Sus scrofa: one gene and its partners. The protein of the gene in region 1 interacts with the protein of each later gene in a pairwise test. Links are inferred from orthologs where the notes say so. Each region holds a gene or a part of one and is shown in the gene's direction. Other genes may lie near its edges. The genes, in order: BNIP3, LDLRAD1, BCL2 and CLEC7A.

What was found.
Region 2: the proteins of BNIP3 (region 1) and LDLRAD1 interact in binary tests that used the Homo sapiens proteins (3 or more experiments, as listed by UniProt). The two-hybrid records come from large-scale screens. The link is inferred for Sus scrofa from reciprocal best matches to the Homo sapiens genes BNIP3 and LDLRAD1.
Region 3: the proteins of BNIP3 (region 1) and BCL2 interact in a two-hybrid assay, tested with the Homo sapiens proteins (2 studies listed by BioGRID and IntAct). The link is inferred for Sus scrofa from reciprocal best matches to the Homo sapiens genes BNIP3 and BCL2.
Region 4: the proteins of BNIP3 (region 1) and CLEC7A interact in binary tests that used the Homo sapiens proteins (3 or more experiments, as listed by UniProt). The two-hybrid records come from large-scale screens. The link is inferred for Sus scrofa from reciprocal best matches to the Homo sapiens genes BNIP3 and CLEC7A.

Annotation. Positions count from the first base shown.
Region 1 is NC_010456.5:140,369,152-140,373,323, reverse strand, and holds the start of BNIP3 (BCL2/adenovirus E1B 19 kDa protein-interacting protein 3), read left to right. Parts: upstream 1-1,372; 5' UTR 1,373-1,573; coding exon 1,574-1,619; intron 1,620-4,172. UniProt on the Homo sapiens protein: Apoptosis-inducing protein that can overcome BCL2 suppression. May play a role in repartitioning calcium between the two major intracellular calcium stores in association with BCL2.
Region 2 is NC_010448.4:158,298,707-158,302,326, forward strand, and holds part of LDLRAD1 (low-density lipoprotein receptor class A domain-containing protein 1), read left to right. Parts: intron 1-1,581; coding exon 1,582-1,710; intron 1,711-3,160; coding exon 3,161-3,309; 3' UTR 3,310-3,620.
Region 3 is NC_010443.5:158,336,184-158,340,268, forward strand, and holds the start of BCL2 (apoptosis regulator Bcl-2), read left to right. Parts: upstream 1-1,219; 5' UTR 1,220-2,561; coding exon 2,562-3,143; exon of another isoform or gene 3,144-4,085. UniProt on the Homo sapiens protein: Suppresses apoptosis in a variety of cell systems including factor-dependent lymphohematopoietic and neural cells. Regulates cell death by controlling the mitochondrial membrane permeability. Appears to function in a feedback loop system with caspases.
Region 4 is NC_010447.5:61,831,537-61,835,883, forward strand, and holds the start of CLEC7A (C-type lectin domain family 7 member A), read left to right. Parts: upstream 1-1,490; coding exon 1,491-1,593; intron 1,594-3,781; coding exon of another isoform or gene 3,782-3,880; intron 3,881-4,347.

The DNA of each region.
Region 1 (4,172 bases):
CCTAGGCCACTGAGGCTGTTTTTCAGGGCAGGGCAGGTGAGAGTAGGGCCTGTCACTGGAGCAGGTCTTCAAGTCCCGGCATTGCCACTTCCTTGCATGGCGTCCTCTGGGTGATGGAACTTGCTGGAAGCTGTAGAGGGTTCCACATGGGGAAGGAAAACCAGGTGCCACTGTCTTTTCGAGGACTTATAAAAAACTTCAGTGAGCTTAGCAGGTTGCAAGACGTGATGACACTAAAATCCATATTCCTATATATTTTCAAAAAGCAATCAAATGAGATTTAACAACGGTAGTCACCATAACATTAAAAGTATGAATATTTAGAGATGCCTCTGACAAAAGATGTGCGAGCCCTGAACCCTGACAACTGCAAGATACTGCTGAGAAAAAAGTCAAAGAACACCTAAATGATGGCCAAACACAGGGTGTCTGTGGGCCCTAAGGCTCAATACCGCAGCTGCTTCCCCAGGAAGAGGGGCCGAGGAGCTGGGAGGGGCGCCTGGGGAGGGCTGGGGTGGGAACACTGAGAGACTGCAATTCGCGCCTCTGCAGGGACACGCTGTTCTGTTTGTTCCTGGCTGCACCCAACTAGAATGCCGCTGGGACAGGGGCGGCGTGGGCTCCACGCACCATGAGCAAGTGAAAATGAGAAGGACAGTCAGCCTGAAAGCAAGGCCAGCTCCTGGACATCCAGAGAGAAAGCAAGATTGATGCCCCTCTCATGAGCATCCGCCGCGTCCCTGCGATTGGCTAGGGACGCAAATATTGGTCCTATCTGTCTTTCTCTGGTTGGTCCTGAGCTGGAGGCAGGGACCGAAGTCGGGGAAGCTGTCATCGCTGATCAAGTCCTGGCCATTTAGGCCTTGTGGTCACAGGGCTGATGTGCGGCATCCCAGACCTGTTGCCAGAGATTCTGATCTGACTTCCCGCCAGGCTGACGTACAAAAGGCGGTCAACTGAGAGGGGCGACCGGCTGGTGGCCTCAGGACGCCGGCCAAACTGCCAGCGCCGCCTTCGGCTGGCTGCCCCGCCTCCCTTGCTCTCCTCCCCGCGGTCAGAGGGAGCGCGGTCAGGCCTCAGGCAGTATCACCGACGCCCAGGCCCCGCCAGGCCCCGCCTCCCGCCGGCCTAGGTTTCTCCGCGGGGCCCGCACGTCCGACACGCACCTGCCGGTTTCCCACGCCTCGCCCCCCAGGGCGCGCGCTCCCGGCCCGGGTCTCCCCGCCCCGCCCCGCGCCCCGTCCCGCCTGCGCACGCGCAGCCCCCTCCGCACCGCCCGGCCAGCGCACGCGCGCTCCACTCCTCAGGCGACCCCTCCCCCGCCCCCGCCCCGCGCACGCGTCGCACGCGCCGCACGCGCCCTCGAAGGCCCCGCCCCGCGGCCAATGGGCGGCGCCGCCGCTTCGCCGCCGCTTATCCGCCGTGCGTCCGCCGCCAGCGTCAGTCAGTCGGGCCGCGGGCCGACCGCGCTCGAGCTGCTAGGCCCGCGCCGCCGCCGCCGCCGCCACCGCTGCCGCCTCCCCCCGTCCCTCTGCGGCCGCAGCTCGGCTCCGGCCCCCGCCGCCCCGCCGCCATGTCTCAGAGCGAGGCCCCCGGGCTGCAGGAGGAGAGCCTGCACGGTGAGCGGGCCCGGGCGGCCTGGTGGAGGGGCTGCGCGGGGACCCCCGGGAGGCCGGGCGCCGCGGGCTCGGGGCGCGGCGGGTGCAGCCTCCCCGGACGGCAGAGGCGCAGCCCAGGGCCCGTGCCGGTACCGGCGAGCAAACGCCTGGCTTGCGGGTGGAGTTCGTGGACGTGGTTGCAGCGTCGTCGGCTCGGTCCGGAGGCGCGGCTGGGGGACGTGGGCTGCCGGGGCTGCCGGGGGTGCGGGGCGCCGGTCAGCGTCGGGGGGCCGCTTAGACACGGCGGGGGCGCGCCGCCAGCTCTTCCCTGAAGCTCAGGTTCTCTCGTCCTGGGGGTCGTTCCAAAGCCAAGCTGGACGCGGACTGGTGGCCGGCGAGGCGGGGACCCCCTGCCCCTCCCGGAAAGCGGGCTCGCGGGGTCCGGCCTCGCGGTCCTGTCCCTGGGGAGCCCCGCGGCCGCGGGCTGGAGGAGGGGCCGTGCGCGCGACCTTTGGATCCTCTGAAGCAAGAGTTTAGGCAGCGGGAGCACGTAAATAAGTTTGGAGAGGACCGTCGAAACCTTTGCGGGTGCATTTTTAAGTTTTTGAAAACCTTTTTGTTATCTGAACTTAGCCACATTTTCTTACGCCTTCCAACAAGCTTTTCCTAAGTAAGACTCGGTGTAATGCGTTGTATAATGTGCATTTAGAACTAAGACGACAGTTTAAAAATCCTGTCATCTCATTAAATTTCAACACTGCTTATCTTCTTGGAAACAGGTTGAGATTGAATCTGTCTTTTCTCACCACCGAGGATGCCGTGGTCACTCGTCTACGCTTCTGACCTCGTGCTTTGGTGGTTGAGATTTGTGTCTGGAAGGGTTCTAAGCGCCCAGAGCCCCCATCTCCGTTCCTTGATTGACACACCAAACTGCTGAGTCATTGGCAATGCAGAAGGCCAGCTCCCAAGTTAAAAGATTTGTTTTTCTGTTTTGTTTATTCTATAAAAAGACAGTTGCAGGCCGAGTGGAAACTCCTGCTGGGCTCTTTGGGCTCCTCTCGGGTACGTGCTGTGGGGCACTTGCTCAGGGTCCTGCCCAGAGGGTCACATGGGCCCCGGGTCCGCCCTGAGAAACGTGAGTCCCCGCCCGGGTTGGTGGCGCCTGTCCTCAGCTCTGTTTTGGTTTGACTGCCTCTTGTTTACCTTGGAAAGAACGCTGAGCCTTGGTAGCCCCACCGACGGACAGCAGCACGCGTTCTCCCCTCTGCTCCCGCCTTTGACTGGGTGTCTCCCGAGTTCACAGCCAAGCTGATGGCTCCCTCTGGACTCCTGGTCCTTCCCGCTCAGAGCTCTTGACTGGCAGCTCGACCTTTTCCTCAGATAAACAGCTGCTAGAGTGTGTGTGGGGGGGAGACTTACTGTCCTGGAGAACGCCCTCCCTGCTCTGCTGGGGCCTGACCAGCGCCGTGAGGTGCCCTGGGGTGCCCGAGGCCGCCCCAGCCCTTCTCCTGCAGCCCTAGGGTTCTGCTGTCACCAGCAGCCCACCAGGGGCCCGGGCGCATGGAGAGGAAGGTGAGTAGCGCATGTGTCCGGTGCAGTAGGGTGACATTTCAGACACTAGGTCCTGGCCCAGAGAGGAGTGAATGAGGCCGCAGTGACTTCTCAGGGCCGCCTCCTTTGGGTGCTGGTGGGCGGCTTGGAGCCTCAGCGACAGGGCGCTCGCCAGGCAGGCGGAGGGTGCGACTAATCAGCTCCTGCTTCTTGGAGCCTCGGTGACCTGCCTGGTCGACTTCCCGGTTCATCAGGCCTCTGTCCTGTCCCACCCAACTTGAGAAGCTTTTTAAAACTGTCACTTCGTAAAACCCCAGCTGGTTCGGGTGGTGGTTGCCTGCAGGCTTAGTGAGCCGCTCTGCCTGGGATGGGGGCGCTTCTCCGGGGGCCTCTGTGACCTCGATCCCATTGTCTCCTAGGAACTTGCCTAGCAGTTTTCAAACCTTCATCACCGCAAGAGTTTTTGCAAAGGAAATGCCCCGACTGGGTTCTGACCCAGCCTTCCGAACCGGGGGTGGGACTCCAGAGAGCGGGGAGGGCACCGCAGGCGGTCCTCGGTAGCCTGGGTGGAGGCCTGCCAGCCCAGACCAGGGTGCGGGGGCTCTGGGACCCAGGGCCTGGCGTCTCACTGTGGAGGCAGGACTGTGGAGAAAGGGGTCACAGTTTGTGTTTTAACAAAACGAATGAACATCAAGACGGGCTAACAAGTCTAAGGCTTGTCAGCCCCTTTTGTGATGTGACTTCGAATGAGCAGCCGAGGCTGCTCATCCTTCTCACCTGCCATGCTCACCTGCCCTGTGTCCTGCTGTGTGCGTGGTAGGCAGGTGTGGGCAGGGGCCCGAGTCTGGGCAGAGGTATCACCACCTGTTTTTTCTGAGGCCTCATTGTACCAGTGACTTGACAGGTTATTTGTGCTGCTGAGGCGGTGCCGTGAAGCAGCCTGGCTCCCATCTTTCTGGCCCAGGAAGGCGAGGGCGCTCGTGACTGCAGGTGGAAGGGGGTCAGTGGCAACCCTGGCTTCCT
Region 2 (3,620 bases), on another chromosome or scaffold:
GGACCCTCAAGACCAGAGGAGATCTTAAAAGTCAGCTAGGGAGTTCCTGTCGTGGTGCCGCGGAAACAAATCTGACCAGGAACCATGAGGTTGCAGGTTCAATCCCTGGCCTTGCTCAGTGGGTTAAGGATCTGATGTTGCCTTGAGCTGTGGTGTAGGTTACAGACATGGCTCAGATCCTGTGTAACTGTGGCTCTGGTGTAGGCCAGCGGCTACAGCTCCGATTCGACCCCTAGCCTGGGAGCCTCCATATGCCGCAAGTGCAGCCCTAAAAAGCAAAAAAAAAAAAAAAAAAAAAAAGTCAGCTAGTCCATGTCCCAGCTCGAGCCCACATCCCCTCTGCCACTCAGCCCCTACTTGCCCACTCCTGGAACGGGGAGCTCACTGCCACTTGAGGCAGCTGATCCCATCACTGCCTGGTTTTCCATGGGAAGGTCTCCCTTGTGCTGAGTTTAGAGCCGCCTCCCAGTAGCATCCTTGATTGGTTCCAACTCTGCCCGGTCAGCAACCCGTGCCCCCCACAAGCTACAGTTCAATCTGTCTCCCACGATGGTGGCACTGCATGGACTTGCCCCCCATGAGTGTCCTCTTCCCCGGCCACCTCTGAACTCCCCGTTGCCTTGTGACTGGTCTTCCCCTTTCCGCCAGCACACCGAACAACACAGACCAATGCCCGTGCCCCTCTCCCTGGACTGGCTCCAGAAACATCCATGACACTTCTGACGAACTCCGGCCAGTCCAAGAAACAAAGGCTTTTCCCCTCCCAAGTCTGGGTTATACCTTTAATGATGTGGCCTGAGTTTATGTTAATTTTTGGTAGCCCTGTCATGCTGCTGACTAACACAGAACCCACTTTTAAGAAAGATGCTCTGGGAGTTCCCGTTGTGGCGCAGTGGTTAACGAATCCGACTAGGAACCATGAGGTTGTGGGTTCGATCCCTGGCCTTGCTCAGTGGGTTAAGGATCCAGTGTTGCCGTGAGCTGTGGTGTAGGTCGCAGACGTGGCTCAGATCTGGCGTTGCTGTGGCTCAGGCGTAGGCTGGCGGCTACAGCTCTGATTCGACCCCTAGCCTGGGAACCTCCATATGCTGCAGATACGGCCCTAAAGAGCCAAAAAAAAAAAAAAAAAAAAAAAAAAAAAAAAAAACCCACACCGCCTGATCTGGGATCCAAGTGCAAAACTTCACATTTTCTCTTTTTATATTCCATTCAGTGGAAGCTTCCTGGAGGTGAAGGAACTTGAACCTGGACTTGCAGGTGGAATGGTTCTGGACAGGGGTTGAGGAGGAACTTCTGGAGGGAGGAATAGAGCAAAGCAATGGCAGGGAGGGGGCGGCTCAAGGGAGTGAGGGTGGGAGAGGCAGCTCCGGGAGCCCTGCTGGGTGAACAGCCAAAGAACCCTCCCCTCTCCTTGACTTGACCTCCTCCCCAGGAAAACTCCTTGTCCCCTTCCTGGGATTGGATGGGTCGTGACCCTGCGTTTGACAGCTGCCAGGGTGGCCAGAACAATCCTCCTTCAGACAGCTCTGAGCCAGCTGTGGCCAGATGCAGACTGCCTCTCACCCCATCTGCCCTCTGCAGGAGACGTGCCCCAGAGCCTCCCCAGCTTCCTGGTGGCACACTGTGGAGACCCCGCTTTCTGGATCTACTCAGACCAGAAGTGTGATGGGTTCAACAACTGCGGGGACTGCTCGGATGAACTGAGCCCAGGTGGGGGTCTGGGTGCAGGCTGGGCTGGGGCAGTTGGCTGGGCAGTAGTCAGGGGGTAGAAGTTGACCAGAGACTCTCCCAGGCTTCCCTTGCATCCCCTTCATGCATCCCAGGAAGAAGTTTTCCACTCCCGCTTGAATGCCTCGACTGGCAGGGTGCTCACTACCACTCCCAGTGGCTCCTTCTCAAGGGTTATTCTTTTGTGGTGGGGAACTTACCTTCAAGGGCATAGATGAGGAAACTGGGACCCAGAGGGCGGTCATGGAAGGAGTACATACATGGTCTAACTGGGGTTTGAACCTGGGCTTCCCTCGTCTCCCCTGCACCATCCAACAACCGTGCAAGGAAAGCAGGGCAGGAGTCACTGAGCCCAATTTATACACAGGTAAACTGAGACCAGAGGGAGAAGGGACAAAATAATGAGTAATAGGAAGGGATTGTGGGTCTCTTGACTTTAGGACTGGAGTTTTTTCACTGTCCCGGGTTTTCCTTCCAACCTCTTCCCTGCTGTTCGATCCACACACACATTCTGAGCACGTTGGGGGTTGGCCTGGTGCCAGGTTCTGCTAGGGGACAGTCAGGAGTCAAATAAGTGTCCTACTCCCATGACTCACATCATGTGATGCCAAAAGGAAGTGCTGGGGTCCTGGAGAGGTTTCTTTTGTGGGGGGCGGGGGAGTAAAAATCAAGGGAGGCTTCTGAGAAGAGGCGGCATTCAAGCAGGCTTTAAAAAATGGATAGGGGGATGTTATTGTGACTCGGCAGATTACCAACCTAACTAGTACCCATCATGACTCGGGTTCGATCCCTGGCCTCGATCAGTGGGTTAAGGATCCAGTGTGGCTGTGAGCTATGGTGTAGGTCACAGACATGGCTTGGGTCCCTCATTGCTGTGGTGTGGCTGTGGTATAGGCCGGCAGCTGTAGCTCCAATTTGATCCCTAGCCTGAGAAACATGCTGCCAGAAAAAAAAAAAAAAAAAAAGGCAGAAAAGGACAGGTTTCAACAGGCAGAGGCCAGGTGTGCAGGGGAGAATGCTAGCGGTCCAGGGTCCAGGGCAAACAGGGGAGTCTGCAGGGCGCCCTAAAGGAGTCATAAGCAGGCTGGTGCCGCTGAGTCAGGGTGAGAGAGGAGGGCGGGGTGACATGTGCCCGGCAATACCTGAGCATCGACTGTGGGCCTGGCGCTTTGCCTATCGTCCTTAACAGCAGCCTTGAGCTGATGAGGAAACTGAGGCTCAGACAGGGTGAGAGATTTGCTTGAGACAACACAACCTATGAGCTGGGGAGCCGGGATTCTCTCTCCTGTCGGGGAATGAGGAATGTAGTTACCCGTGTCAGCGGAGGTGGGGCTATGGGAGCCATGGCAGGTTTCAGAGCTAGGGAGTGCCCTGATGCACAGGACATTCCAAGACACAGCAGCTGTTCTTCTGCCGGCTCTTGTCTTTCCAGTGACGACGTGCCCACCCTGTGGCCCTGAGTGGTGGCGCTGCCCCTCGACCGTCTTCAAATATTGCACCTGCATCCCCAGGAGCCTCTGCCGGGATCACGTGCAGCACTGCTCCGACTGGTCAGACGAGTACTCCTGCCCTGGACCTTGAGTGGGTCGCCGAGGCCAGAGTGGGCAGCTGGTTAAAATGGCACTGATAACCCCCCCACACACACAAGAGCTAGGAATCCAAGTGCACAAGGGCAGGAAGGAGCCTGTGGGATCATCTAGTGGGATCTACACACCGTTGCCTCTGAATAAGAATTGCCTCTCGTGCTTTCGAGGGTTTCAGCCTCTGCTTGAACCCTTCCAGCGACGGGGAGATCACTACCATGTCAAGTAGCTCCTAGCAATGATGAGAGAACCTGCTTCCATGATTTGAAGCTTGTCTCTGGGTCACATGGAGGAAAGATGCCCCTCTAC
Region 3 (4,085 bases), on another chromosome or scaffold:
GTTTGCTCTTTGTGCCTTTCTCCTGGGGGCTGTTCATGCTTGTGAATAAAAAAAAATGTGTATATAGTGCGTGTGCGAGTCTGTGTTTGTGTATAAATAACTCGAGAAGGTGCAGCTATCTAGATTGGCTGCTAGGTGGCCGTGGACCCACTTACCCTGGTTTGGGGGCTTGGGGCCTTAAGGTAGCCCTGTAGCCTCCCACGGTAGCGTGGCGGGCAGCCCCTAACCCAGTGCCCAGACTGTTAGTAGAGGAAAAACATTGACTTAACCACTTGAAAGCCCTTGGTATATACCCCACTAATCCCTCTGCCGGGCCACTGAGAGCTATGTCTGGCTTTGGTCATGGATGGTGTCACCGAAGTGTATTCTCTGCGTGGACACCTAGGAAGCAACTTGAAAGTAAACACACGCTTGGGGCTTCCCTCGCTGATGAATGTGCAGCAGCGTCGCCTCCGTTCGGAGGGCAGCGCTGAGGTCTCTTTGCTTCGGTCAGCATCTGCCAAGCGCTGGTGTGTACACACACAGGGGCTGCTGTGTGTACACACACACAAGGGCTTGTGTGTACACACACACACACACACACACACACACACACACACGGGAGCGCGCGCGCGGTTAGGGCCGAAGTGATTACTGGCGCTTGTTTTCTTGGCGCCCACCCCCGTCCCCTAGCAGCCACCCATCCGGCCGCGTGCGGTTCCCCCGGCGGCCCTGGCCGCTCGCCGGGCCCTCCGAAGGCCCGAAGAGGCCCCGCGCACACCCACCGCGCCGCGGCCGCGCGGGAGGCCTGCGCCGCCCGCGCCACCCACCGGCTGGGCCCAGCGGGCAGGCTGAGCGAGCGGGCGGGCGGGGGCTGTCCCGGGCTCGCCCTCCCCGGCCGCGGCCCTGCGCGCCATGTGTCCCCGCGGGGCGCGCCGCTCCAGAGCCGGCCGCGGCTCCTTTAACCCAGGGAAGGGGAGCGGGGCGGAGGGGGCGGAGGGGGCGGTGGGGCGGCTCCGAGGAGGGCTCTTTCTTTCTTCTTTTTTTGAATGAACAGTGTGACGTACATACAGGAAACCAGTCGGTTAGAGGAGAATGAAGTAAGAGGCCAGCCCCCCCGGCCCCGCGCCCGCCCCCTTCCTCCCTGCGCTGGCCCCCGCCCGCCGGGCTCCCGCCCGCCAAGCTCGGTTTCCCCGCCGAGCCGCCGCCGCTGCCGCCGCCGCCGCCGCCGCCGCCGCTGCCAGCGAAGGTGCCGGGAGCCGAGCCCTCCCCGCCGGCGCGGCCGTCATCGCCCTGAGCGGGAGCGCGGGGGAGGCGGGCGCAGCCAGCTCTGCCGCGCAGGAGCAGGAGGAGGAGAAAGGGTGCGCAGCCCGGAGGCGGGGTGCGCCGGTGGGGTGCAGCGGAAGAGGGGGTCCAGGGGGGAGAACTTCGTAGCAGTCATCCTTTTTAGGAAAAGAGGGAAAAAATAAAACCCTCCCCCACCACCTCCTTCTCCCCACCCCTCGCCGCACCACACACAGCGCGGGCTTCTCGCGCTCGGCACCGGCGGGCCGGGTGCGTCCAGCCTTCATTTATCAAGCAGCTTTTCGGAAAATGCATTTGCCGTTCGGAGTTTAATCAGAAGAGGATTCCTGTCCCCGTCCCCGGCTCGTCCACCGGCCCCCGGTCCCTGTCTCTCTCCCGTGGAGGCGTGAAGCGGCCCCGCGGATAGAAATCCATGTCCGTGCCCGCGCGTGTGTGTGCGTGTGTAAATTGCCGAGAGGGGAAAAATCACAGGACTTCTGCAAATCCCGGACTGAAAATTGTAATTCATCTGCCGCCGCCGCTGCCTTTCTTTTCTCGTGCTCTTGAGATCTCTGGTTGGGATTCCTACGGATTGACATTTCTGTAAAGGAGAAGTCTGGGAATCAAACTGGAAATTCTCCTAATTTTTACACCTCCTCCCCCAGCTCCTGATTCATTTGGAAGTTTCAAAGCAGCTATAACTGGAGAGTTCTGAAGATTGATGGAATCTTTGCCTTATGCATTTGTTTTGTTTTCACAAAAAGGAAACTTGACAGAGGATCATGCTGTCCTTAAAAAATACAAGTAAGTTCTTTGCACAGAAAATTGGCTTAATGTAACTTTCAATGGAAACATTTGAGATTTTAACTTTTAAGTGCATTCGAGTAAGTTTAATTTCCAGGCAGTTTAATACATTCTTTTCAGCTGTGTAACTTGTAGTGTGTTAAGCCCTGCTTTCACCCAGTGTATAAAGGGAAATGCACCTGATTTTGACTGATTAGTTTTTTTAACCTTTCAGCATCACGGGGGAAGTAGACTGATATTAACAATAATTAATAATGTGCCTCATGAACTAAAGATCCGAAAGGAATTTAAATAAAAATTTCCTGCATCTCATGCCAAGAGGGAAACACCAGAATCAAGTGTTCCGCGTGACTGAAGACACCCCCTCAACCAAGAATGCAAAGCACATCCAATAAAATAGCTGGATTATAACTATTCTCTCTTTCGGGGCCGTGGGGTGGGAAGCGGGGGCGAGAGGTGCTGTTGGTACCCGGCTGCTTTTCCTCTGGGAAAGGATGGCGCACGCTGGGAGAACAGGGTATGATAACCGGGAAATAGTGATGAAGTACATCCACTATAAGCTGTCGCAGAGGGGCTACGAGTGGGATGCCGGAGACGCGGGCGCCGCGTCCCCGGGGGCCGCTCCCGCACCGGGCATCTTCTCCTCCCAGCCCGGGCGAACCCCCGCTCCCGCCAGGACCTCGCCGCCGCCGACCCCGACCGCCCCCGCCGCCACCGCCGCCGCCGCCGCCGCCGCGGGGCCTGTACTCAGCCCGGTGCCACCTGTGGTCCACCTGACCCTGCGCCAGGCCGGCGATGACTTCTCTCGTCGCTACCGCCGCGACTTTGCCGAGATGTCCAGCCAGCTGCACCTGACTCCCTTCACCGCGAGGGGACGCTTTGCCACGGTGGTGGAGGAGCTCTTCAGGGATGGGGTGAACTGGGGGAGGATTGTGGCCTTCTTTGAGTTCGGTGGGGTCATGTGTGTGGAGAGCGTCAACCGGGAGATGTCGCCCCTGGTGGACAACATCGCCCTGTGGATGACTGAGTACCTGAACCGGCACCTGCACACCTGGATCCAGGATAACGGAGGCTGGGTAGGTGCATGTGTGGTTGAATGTGAGTCTGGGCTGCGCGTTAAGGGTCTGAGATGCAGTGGTTGGAGTGTGGGTGGGCTGCTCGACCAAGGGCGGGCGGATGAGCCAGTGCTATAAAATCAGGTTTGTGGCTTCCCTCCCCATTTCCCCTGTTCAGAGCTCTCTCCCTGCCAACCGTACTGTGATCATTCCTTCCCGCCAAAACTGTTTGCCTTGCTTGCCAACCGTTGAGTTTCAAAGATCCAGGCTTTGCTATTCAGTAGGCTCTTGGGATAATGGTATCCCTTCAGTGTTTTTCAAACTGGGAGTCCAAGGATCCCCAGCATTACTGTACCTGGCCTGAGTAGCTCCTTGAAATCAGAGACAGGGCCAACTCATAAACTGACCTCAGGCTGGGCCCTGGGAATCTGCATCAGAAATAAGCCCCTCTGGGGGTTTCTTCTTTGTACTAAGATGTGAGAACCACCCAATTAGAAGAACAGACTCCCCCAGAAGACCAAGGTCATGCCTTCTCCTCACTTGGTAACATCTACCCAAAGAGGAAAACCAATGGAGCCTATTTCCCTGAAAATCTTGGATGTTTGTGAAAAGGTAAATTGTAAGTTGACTTTCCAAAAGTCCGGCCATTCCAAGCTGCAATGTGAGCCACATTCCCAGTGGGCATGACCCATTGTCTTGAAGAACACTCATCTATGGGTGTTTATTTCATCAGTGGCAGAATTTGCATTCGCTGCACGCTTTGTGTTCTATTTCTATAACTTGTGTATGATTTTGAGGTTTACTGGAATTTTACTGTCTTACTTTTCACCAACTAGAATTCACATCATTTTGGGTCTTCTCTGCTGGATAAACGTGAATCTACAGTATCTATATAAAGCATAGAAGAATTGATTCTTAGCTATGGATTCCTGTGCTCTGACTTTAGTTGAAGTGATTAATGCC
Region 4 (4,347 bases), on another chromosome or scaffold:
GTCCTTGCTGCTTTAATGAGGGCCTAGGGTTTTTTGTCTTCGACAACTGCCAGATATCTCCTTCACTCTGTTTGCTTCAAAATCTTGTGAATGGGTTGAGTACCTCTAGTTTCCAGCAATGATAAGTGTTTTCCATATCTCATTAATTTGGGAATTACTATGGAAATCGGAAAAGAGGAAACATCAAGTATTTAATATAATATTCAGTCCCAGAATTCTCTATAAGCTGTTACTTGCCATGTAAGCGTATGGAATGGTAGCATAACAGAAGAGGTCATGGGTTTAGCAGTAAGAGTAGACTTTGGTTTCATTCCTTGCAATATTTTTAGTAGTTTCTTAAAATTGAGCAAGTGGATAAAATTTCTATGTCTCATTTTTGTCATTTGAAAATAGGACTAAACAACAAGGTCCTACACTATGACACAGGGAACTATATTCAATGTTTTGTGGGAATTCCTGTGGTGGCACAGCAGAAATGAATCTGACCAATATCCATGAGGATGCAGGTTTGATCCCTGGCCTTGCTCAGTGGTCTGGGATCCAGCTTTGCCATGAGCTATGATGCAGGTCACAGACGTGGCTCAGATTTTGTGTTGCTGTGGCCGTGGGGGAGGCTGGCAGGTGTAGCTCCAATTTGACCCCAGCATGGGAACTTCTATATACCCATGGGTGCGTATAAATCTTGTATAAATAATAATGGAAAATTATATGAAAAATAATACATAGGACTAAAAGAAATAGGACCAGTAGTGTCTAGCTCACAGACTTGTTGGAAAACTGAGATTGTATGAGAGAACATGTAGATGGGTAGTACTTAGCTCATAGTCATTGTTGAATAAATAATGTACTACTTTGTATTATCAACCCTGACAAATCCCAAAGAGATGTGTTACAGTGTACCTTCTAATGGCATCCTTCCTATAGCTACTGTCTCTGGGTTCTTCTGTTAGTCAGTGAGATTCTTCACAGGTAATCATTTTGTTCTTCTAATCCCAGCTCTGGCCAGATGAAAAGATGGATATTTGCTAAGTGTTTACTAGAAGCGTGAGTACATGAGTAAATGAATGAATGTATAGGTCTAGCAAAGTATTGGTGAATTCAAGGTATCAAAATTATTTTAAGTTTACCTAGGCCAAGTCAACTGATGATGTCCAATTCAGTTGTGAGACTGATGAAAGCAGCCCAAGACATGAATGGTGTCATTTGTCTTACATTTGGCCTGAAACAAAGATCTATCTCGTGTGCTACCTTTTCATTTTTTATGTGACATCAGTCTCAGAAACAGGATCTGAAGGTACCAATGGGAAGTTACCACAGCCTAGTTTTCATTTCCTGCTTTTGGGTAGCTGGTCGGACTACTTGTTAATGCTTAGTAAACCAATCCCACATGATTTGACTCCTAGATCCTCTTTTGTCTAGAGGCACTTGTCTTAGGAGAAGAGAGGGATGAGCTCGCAAATGCTGTGTCAGTTTAGAAACTCACTTGAACCATGGAATACCAGTCTCCTTTAGAAAATGTGGATGAAGATGGATACACTCAGTTAGACTTCAGCTCTCACAACCTCACCAGGAGATCTGTGGTCTCCGAGAAAGGTATTTTTTTTTCTTTCTGATTTCAACATTGTCAATCTCATCAACTGAAATTGGAAGTGGAAAAGAGAGGCGAGACGTGATTTGTTGGGCTTTTATTACTATATGTTGATTTTCAGAAATCGCTGAAGATTCTTTGAATGTGCACGAAGCCTTTTCTCTCAGCAACCATTCAGTGACCAATCATTAGTACAGTTGACCCTTGAGCAACAGGGGTTTGAACTGCACAGGTCCACTTATATATGGAGGTTTTTTAATCATAAATACTACAGTGCTACACCATCTGAAGTTGACTGAATCTGTGGAAGCTGAATGTAGATATGGAGAACGTCAAATACTGAGGGTCCACCATAAGTTATAGAGGAATTTTTTCGACTGTGGGAGGGTAGATGCCCTTAACCCCAGTGATGTTCAAGTGTCAAATTTATTTAAGTTAATTATTATGATGATGAAAAATACCTACAATTTCTCTATTCTCTAGAGATGGGCACTTCCAAAGTAAGAAGTTGTACTAAGTGAGGTGAAATGCAAAGATGAAAGAATTTTGACAGGAGTGACCTACTTGATAGAAATGAGTAAATTGTAGCATGGGATTTAAGGAAAGGTAAAGCAGGGATTCCTGTCGTGGCTCAGCAGAAACAGATCTGACTAGCACCCATGAGGACGCAGGTTCGATCCCTGGCCTTGTTCACTGGGTTAAAGATCAGGTGTTGTCGTGAGCTGTGGTGTAGGTCACGGATGATGCTCAGATCTGGCGTGGCTATGGCTGTGGTGTGGGCTAGTGGCTACAGCTCCCATTTGACCCCCAACCTGGAAACCTCCATATGCCTCGGGTGTGGCCCTAAAAAAGACAAAAATAAAAAAGAAAGGCAAAGCAGTGGATATGAACAACATCAAGATACTGGAGATCAGGAGAAGAATGAAAAGATGGAAAAAACAACTTGTGATTTTGTGGAAAAGGCCAAAGAAGTCAGAAGTCTTAGGGCTTAGAAGCCCAAATCTGAATTTTTTGTATGTGTGATAATGAGGTTGATTTGATATTCTTTTTTTTTATTTTTTGTAAAGGGAGTTTTTGTATGTCAGTGAAGAAATATATGTGTTAGATAAAAATATCCCATTATCAGGACACGAGTCTTAAACCAAATGTAAAAGAAGTGAAACCTGGACAAGGGCATTGGTCTCTTTAGGAGTTCCCTTTGTGGCTTAGCGTTAACAAACCTGACTAGGATCCACGAGGATGCGGGTTTGATCCCTGGCTTCGCTCAGTGGGTTAAGGATCCGGCGTTGCCCTAAGCTGTGGTGTAGGTCACAGAGGCAGCTCAGATCCTACGTTTCTGTGGCTGTGGTGTAGGCCGGCAGAGACCTCTCTCTTCATTGAATGAGCCATTTAATCTCCCCTGTAATTCTCCTATTTGAAAATTCTCTGAAATGCTCTTAATGCCTATTCTCAATCTTGGTGTAGGGGTATTAATAGAAAATGAATTTCTTGTTATCAAGGGAGAGTTTATTCACAGGTTTTGACGTCAGAATTTGCTCCCTTCTGCTTTCTGCTCATTCATATTGCACAATTATTTTCCTCTCATCGCTTGTGCAATTCTTTCCTTGGGCAACCTGTTGGGGGAGAGTGGAAAAACTATGCAAAAGATAGGGAGGTATGTGTGTGTTTACATGTATGTGTGGTTAAACGGTGGGTTATCTAGACTGTGCTAGTAGTCTAGGTGCCTTTATGTGTGTTAACTTATTTAATTTTCATAATAACATTTTGATGTATTAGTACCCTCACTTTTCACAAAGAGAATTGAAAAAAAACAAAAACAAAAACCAGAGGGCATAATTTTCCCAAGAGCATGCAACAAATAAGAGAAAGGGGAAGATTACTCTTAGAAACCAGTGCTATTTCTGCTCCATGAAGCTGTCTCAAGAAGGAGTATGCTTTCAGGAATCCTGATAGTGTAAGACATATAAACATCAATGTGGAGCTGAAATTTAGAGTGCACAAATACCAAGGCACTGCACTCAAGTTACAGTTTCAGAAACATGAAGAGGTATTGCTAAAAGGGGAGAAAAATTCAGATTATTCCAGATGAGTAGATATTTCGGGGATCAGATTTTGATGAACTAGAGAACTGAAATGTTCCATGATCCATTATCCAGTTACTTTACTCAATTTCTGCTCTCTTTGGCTCCTCAGGACCTTGTGCTGCATCCCCTTATTGGCGACCCATTACTGTGACTTTGGGAATTTTATGCTTGTTAATGTTGGTGATAGCTGTGGTCCTGGGTACCATGGGTGAGTACTGGAGGAGATGAGCAATGGCAGATATTTAATTAAAAATGTGTAATGATCTAGGCACTCTTTTAAGAGTGTAACATAATCTTATTTAATCTGCATATTGACCTTATTGAATTAGTGCTATTAGTTCTTATTTTAGTCCTGGCATCATAAACCAGTTAATGGTAGGAACGTGATTGGATGTTTAGGCAGTATGTCTAAAAAACTCATACTTTTAACTGCAGTGATCTACTACCTTCTTGAATAGCTGGTTTCAAAGCTGTGGAATTCCTAGGGTAAATGAATGAGAGGAAACCAGCGGAGGTGAAGAAGGAAGTACAATTAGTGCTTATCTTCCTAATGAAATAAATTCTTTAAAAAGACTATAAGACATTTTTATATCTCATGATTTAAAGAAAGTGTTTTGTACCTGGTCCTTTAATCTGAATTTTTTTTTTTTTTGGATAATACCAGGAAATACTTGC